Linked DNA regions of Saccharomyces cerevisiae S288C. The protein of the gene in region 2 interacts with the protein of the main gene of each other region in a biochemical or structural test. Each region holds a gene or a part of one and is shown on either strand. Other genes may lie near its edges.

Evidence for each region. The genes of interacting proteins can lie anywhere in the genome.
Region 1: the proteins of LIF1 (region 2) and NEJ1 form a complex in vitro, tested with the Saccharomyces cerevisiae proteins (2 studies listed by BioGRID).

What each region holds. Positions count from the first base shown.
Region 1 is NC_001144.5:673,916-677,363, forward strand, and holds NEJ1 (Nej1p), read right to left. Parts: upstream 1,541-3,448; coding exon 512-1,540; downstream 1-511. Other genes in the region: YLR264C-A (uncharacterized protein), read right to left, coding at 1-29; PDR8 (Pdr8p), read right to left, coding at 1,704-3,448. UniProt on the Saccharomyces cerevisiae protein: Involved in non-homologous end joining (NHEJ). Facilitates the transport of LIF1 into the nucleus, where it can interact with DNA ligase DNL4 to repair double-strand breaks (DSB). Mediates mating-type regulation of NHEJ.
Region 2 is NC_001139.9:341,489-345,085, forward strand, and holds LIF1 (Lif1p), read left to right. Parts: upstream 1-1,830; coding exon 1,831-3,096; downstream 3,097-3,597. Other genes in the region: nucleocytoplasmic transporter NUP145, read left to right, coding at 1-371; NBP35 (Fe-S cluster-binding ATPase), read right to left, coding at 568-1,554; MF(ALPHA)2 (Mf(Alpha)2p), read right to left, coding at 3,303-3,597. UniProt on the Saccharomyces cerevisiae protein: Involved in non-homologous repair of DNA double-strand breaks. Stabilizes DNL4.

The DNA.
Region 1 (3,448 bases), on a different chromosome or scaffold from region 2:
GTTAAATACAATTTAAATATTACATTCATGTACTTACTCAATATAATAATCTGATTACTTCATACAATAGAAGAGAAAGAAACAGTCTCTAAAACTGCTGTCATAACGCGTGGTGTTGTGGTTTTGCTTAATTTTTTTAGACCCATGCACCAGATATTGATCCAATTTTTTTTTGTGGCTCTTTTGCCAATCGCTCTTATTAAGTAAGTTTACATCCGCGGTTATGTTTTGCGTCTAAATTTCATTTACAGTGATGGCGAGCTTGCGCGGCTATTTTTTATGCAGTTTATCATTTAGACACTCAGAAGCTGCAGTGATGTAAGATACTGCTTGAAACTACCGTTAGATTAATAATAAACAATTAGAACTGTCCTAATACATATAAACTTATATGCTCCCTATCAATGGCATAACGTTACCATTCAATAAATTAACATTATCAATGCGTCAACAAAGGAATAGAACTATTTGAAAGGTCCAACCTTAATTTTTGACGTTTAATTGACTTGCCTTAGTTTTTTATTCTCACCTTTCCAAATTTTCTTTTTTTCTGTGGGTATTCTTCGACCAAAGAAGAACTTGATTTTGTTTTTTCTGGTGTAGCCTCAGATTCAGAAAAATTCTCCAGGCGAAGTTGCGAACTGGTACTACTTTCTCTAGATTTTGGCTTGAAATCTGTCTTTGGTTTAATTTTACCGCGGCTATTTGGTCGAGCCTCATTTGTAGGGTCTGCTTGCAATTCAAAATCATCATTATAAAAATGATTCACCGCAGGAAATCTGACGCGCTCTTTTTTGTTAAGTTCTCCAGATTCTTCAAACCGCGACACATCTTGAAATTTGTTTCTTAAAGATAATAATGTTTTTAATGAGTCCGCCAGAAATTCTTGATGCTGGAATTTTCCTTTATGTAGTAATTTTTTGATTATGTCATCGTCTGTGCATTGCTGCAGAGATTCATAATTCTTAGAATTTTCAGGAGCCCATTGACTGATAACTTTACTCCCACCGTCTAAATCACGAAGAGAAATTAAAAGAAAATCTAAGCATTTTTGCTTTTCATTCAAAATATCCCGTTGTACATAGTGGTATTGGGTGGAAAGGTTTACCAATTTTAATAAAAGCATGCATAAACTTTGCAAAATCATATAGAACATATCCTTAGTAACATGTGAAGGTACGCTATTTATGGAAACTGTAATATCCGCAGATACATCGAAACTAAAAACCAAATTTGAATCTACCAATCCAATTTGGTTAATTTCTTGAGGAGCTTGTAGAATGTCCATTAGTTTTAGTTTAATTAGATTTAATGATATACTATCCGTAAAACCTTGGCTCTGGCATTGCTGTGATAATTGAGTTTGTGAAAGTTTGAAAACGTAGGGAACTAAGCGCTCCAAGGAAACTAAAACAATCATTACAATTGTGGTTGGAGATGACATCGGTAGAAATAATAGGAGACAATTTCCCTCACCATTAATTTTTTTAACACACCATTCTGCATCACTTAGCTGCTGCCCTTTCAACTCAGAATCCATCACACATGTGTAAGATTAACCTCCTATCTGGCCGTTGTTATGGTTATTCTCCATAGGGTTTCCACTTATATGACACTATTTTGTGTTTGCCCGCTGCCAACACTATCATCCCTTTTTGGGACGAAAAAATCCATGTAAAAAAATACATCAATCATAAATACATTTATAAATCGAAATGATATTGTTTATAAAATTTCTTTTTGTCAATGGACCAAAGGTCTTTGGAAATCTCTTTGAACGTTTTCCAAACATCATTAATAAAATCTTCAATCATGAGATCACTGAAGTGCTCCATATTAATGCCCTTTTTCAGCCAAATTTTTTCAGTCTCTATTCTTGCTTGGGACGCTTTATCGAATAAAACCCTACTTACGCGTTCAAACGCCAAAGTTGAAGTTAACTGATAAAAATTGGAAACTGCTTTTAACAATCGCTTATTTCTTTCATTAACAGCAAATATGCTATCAATAATTTCGTAAAATCTTATTATTGTTCCTGAAAATGACAGAAATTTATCAGTCCTAACATCGAATCCTGTCAAAAGTTCATCAAAGTTTTCTTCTTCATATTTAATGAATTGTATTTTTTTCCCAGTGTCAAGGTCAATAAGGAAAAGGAATGCCTTCTCCCTGAAGATTAACCTATTAAATGCTAAACTGTACACTTGCGATACTATTCGTATTAAAAGTGGATTGATTAGAATAATAGACAGTTTTAGCCCTTCAGTTAACACGTTCTCCTGGTCGTTGATAGGCTCTTTAAAATGAAATACCATTGTATTAACACAGACTGATATGGATATCAACAAGAACTGAACCATTCTGTTCTTATCTATGATTCTGCTTTGTTGAGCGATGATCATCTCAATATTGTATATACTAGCAACTATACTTAGAGATCTTGATAAAATCAATATATCAAAGGGATCAATATCAGAGTAGTAAACTGAATTTGTATAATGTTCGATAGGTGAAAAGTTAGATTGTATAAATTCAATCAATCTCAATGAAAAAGTGGTCAATTTTTCGTTCATCTCTCTCTTGTGAATTTCACGAGTAGTGAATCGGGAAACATCTAAAAAATCGTGCATTAGCTTAACTCTCCTAAAGTCAATACTCGGTGATTGGAAATTCTGCGCAGTAAATATACTTAAGTCCAAAAGATCATCTGAAATAGACGGAGGATTACCTATATCATATGAGGTGGATACATCAAGGAATAAAGCCCAAAACCAAATACACCTCAAGTTTTGTTTGGTTTCCTCACTTTCGTTCAAATACCATTTATCAATATCATTTAAACCCAAACTTATGCACCCCTGGCATAGCTCGTTGATTAAGTCAACGCCTTGAGTCGCATCCCATACACCGTCCGTGCAATTTATCATTACACTAATATAGGACAATAAGAAAAATTGTAGTTTTTCCACGAAATTTGAGCTCGATGATGACAAGGACGCTGCACTTAAAGTGTGAAGGAAATGACTCACGGAAGAAGGGATATCTTGGTTATAATAGCCCAAGCAAAGAATTTGAAGTACAATGCCAAGATTATACTTATCTTTTGCATTACCTTGCAAATCGAGGAGGATGACTAGGTTCTTGTCCGTGGTATCTCTAATAAAAAGTCTGTCCAAGAGGGACAGAATATCGTCTTGGTTGAAGATATGCAATATGCCGAACAGCGGTCCAGCAAAAAAAGATTTAATACAGCTTTCCATTTGAGGAAAACTAGGCAAATCTGCTACAACATCATTTTCATTTAATTGCGATTTAGTGCATTCAGGAAGTGGTTTCAAGACTTTCCATAAATTTTGAAACTCAGTTTGAAACTTATTTTGTTCAAACAAAGATAAAGTTTTCCAGGAAGTGGGGCCAAACACATACCTCGAGCCATTATCACCTAAAA
Region 2 (3,597 bases):
ATGAACTGAAAACTTTGAGGGAAATTCTTAACGAATTTCCAGACTCTGAGAGGGACAAATGGAGTGTAAGTATAAACGTATTTGAAGTATATCTAAAGCTTGTGTTGGATAATGTTGAAACGCAGGAGACTATCGATTCATTAATTAGTGGTATGAAGATATTTTATGATCAGTATAAGCACTGTCGTGAAGTGGCCGCATGTTGTAATGTTATGTCCCAAGAGATTGTATCAAAAATATTGGAGAAAAACAATCCTTCAATAGGCGATTCGAAGGCCAAATTGCTTGAGCTCCCCCTAGGGCAGCCAGAAAAGGCATACTTGAGGGGTGAGTTTGCCCAGGATTTAATGAAGTGTACATATAAGATATAAGTTTTTTTATTTTTATTTCTAAAAAAAAGAAAAATAGTAAAACATGGACTGAAGCTAACGCTTTTGGAGTAATTAGTAGCATTATATATGGTAAAAGTGTTCTTCAGTAGGTCTAAGATTTAAAGGTAATGATATTTATATTATAAAACGATTTGACCTCTAATGCACTTCCTTTTATTCTTTTTGATAAAATATACTATACATCCCCCACAGCATCTCGCAGAGCCTCCACAACGTTAAGTACAGCACTCGAAGCTGGGCTGTCAGGATAGTTATCCAGGAAACTTTCACCCATGTCACAACTCTTGCCAATCCTCGGATCTAACGGAACAGACCCCAAAAATTTGATGCCCAATTCCTTACAAAGTGCTTCACCTCCACCTGTGGTAGCCTTGAATATTTGGGACTCTCCTTTGCAATTTGGACATACAAATCCGCTCATATTTTCCACTAGTCCAAGAATATTGATACCAGCCTTCTTACAGAAATCTATCTCTTTCCGTACATCTAATAAAGCTACTTCCTGAGGTGTGGTGACCACAAGGGCACCATCTATGCCAGATTCTCTCATATACTTGTTTATTGAAATGTGCTCATCAGATGTTCCGGGCGGTGTGTCGATTACCAAGTAATCGAGTTTATCCCAATCAACATCCTTTAAAAATTTTTTTATCAATAAATTCTTTTTTGAACCCCTCCATATAATGGCGGAATCGTCTTCTGGAAGCATATATTGAATAGACATGGTGGCTAAATTATCAGTCACATAGACAGGTGTCCAACCGGAGTTCGATTCATGGACGGTTTCTTTAATGCAGCCTAACATATGTGGCAAAGAAGGTCCACATATATCTAAATCCATGGCACCTACTTGTAAATCTTCGTCAGCTGAAAGTGCCCAACTTAGCATTGCGGCAAATGTCGACTTGCCTACGCCACCTTTGCCTGATAAAACCAATATTTTATGTTCTATTCCTGACAAGTTATCTGTGATCAATGGAATATCTGGATCAGGGCCTTTCGGAAGACTTTCACATATTTCTTTATTGGCGCAGCCACCACAAGCATCGGACTTACCTGCCATGTCTGATTCTGGACCAGGACAGTGTTCTGGTTCCGGCTGATTAAGTTCATACTCTGCTGGTAGCACTTCGTCGTTTACATGTGGTAGTATCTCAGTCATTCTTGGATATCACTTATGTATACTGTTGTTCTCAAAAACAGAAAGACTTCACGTTTAGCCTAGCCTACGAGTTGTTGGACAAACATGTTATTTATTATTATATACAAAATATTTCTACGCATTACTAATTACACCATTAATGAATCCGAAAAAGTACCCGGAAGCGTATTTTGAAAAGCCATATTAAAGAATAATAAGATGAACGGCAGTTTTCGACGTGTCAATGCATAGAACTGAGAGAATTGTGCATTGGATGACTTATTTATGTAGGGTGCTATGTCCCAGCTGACGGAGTTCATTAGCTGTATCCCTGTGGTTAATGAAGAACAAAATGAAGAAGATGAGCGTGGCCTCTGTAAGATTCAGATTGAAGATGGCGCTATGTTGGAAACATTAGATGAGAACAGTCTTTCAGGGCTTAGAATAGAGAAAATGTTGGTAAGTGAAGGTACAGGAATTTTTTCCAAAAGCAGTTTTGGAATCAATGATTTGCGAATCTTTACGGGAGAAAATATCGATGAAGAGTCTAAGAAATATGTGTGGTATGAACTACTCAAAATGTTAACTGGTCACAAAGTGTACATTGCATCGTTAGACGAAAAAGTCGTATTCACAAAATGGACGTGCAGAATGCAAGATGATGAGGTATGGAAAGTAGTTATGGAGTTGGAGTCATCGGCGATCATAAGAAAAATCGCTGAACTTACCTTGCATCCAGTCAAAAAGGGAGAGATTGATTTATTTGAAATGGCAGATAAACTCTATAAAGATATCTGTTGTGTTAACGATTCTTACCGGAATATAAAGGAGAGCGATTCTAGCAATAGAAATCGAGTTGAACAGCTGGCTCGGGAAAGGGAGCTATTGGATAAGCTTTTAGAAACACGTGATGAAAGAACCAGAGCAATGATGGTAACCTTGTTGAATGAGAAGAAGAAGAAAATAAGAGAGCTTCATGAGATTCTGCGACAAAATAATATCAAATTGTCTGACGATGATGTTTTAGATTCTGCGCTTATTAATACGGAAGTGCAAAAGCCAATTTCTGAGTTAAACTCTCCAGGAAAAAGAATGAAACGAAGAAAGACGGTAGTAGAGCCTCAAAATTTACAAAAGAAGTTGAAAGACACAAGTCGGAGGAGAGCTAATAGAAAAATATCTAATCAATCCGTGATCAAAATGGAAGACGACGATTTTGATGACTTTCAATTTTTCGGACTTTCTAAAAGGCCAATTATTACTGCTAAAGATAAACTCAGTGAAAAGTACGATGATATTACCTCTTTTGGAGATGACACACAATCAATAAGTTTTGAATCTGATAGTAGCAGTGATGTTCAAAAACATTTAGTGTCTTTAGAAGACAATGGTATTCAAATATCAGCAGGAAGATCGGATGAAGATTACGGAGACATTTCTGGTTCTGAATCTGAGACTGATGCAAGTGCAGGGGAAAAGAAGAGCTCCAACCATAGTGAACAATCCGGTAATGATAGGGAACCTTGCTTGCAGACAGAATCGGAAACGGATATAGAAACATAGCCTATTTATGAATGAATGTAATATATGGCAAAGAGTATTATAGTATCGCATCATTTGAGAGAATACTTTATTTAAATGGCAAAAAATAGTTCTATGTGAGTGATCGAAAACTCAACTACTCAGATTGAAAAGAAAATAAATAAAACTAGGTGTTGTATGAACGTGAAAGAAATCGAGAGGGTTTAGAAGTAGTTTAGGGTCATTTTTCAGTACATTGGTTGGCCTGGCTTGAGTTGCAACCAGTGCCAAGCATCAGCGTTGGCCTCTCTCTTGTACATTGGTTGGCCTGGTCTCAAATTTAACCAGTGCCAAGCGTCGGCAACAGCCTCTCTTTTCGCCAAAGTGGTGTTTTGCTCTTTTTCAGCCGCCTCAGCAATAGTGGTGTTGATAAACAATAGCCCACTGGCGGTAGCGTTACTGAATGGTAAAAAAGCTATGTCATGATCACCTCCGAAATCCAAGTATCCAATAATGGCCTCGGCTGGCACCTGAGCGATATCT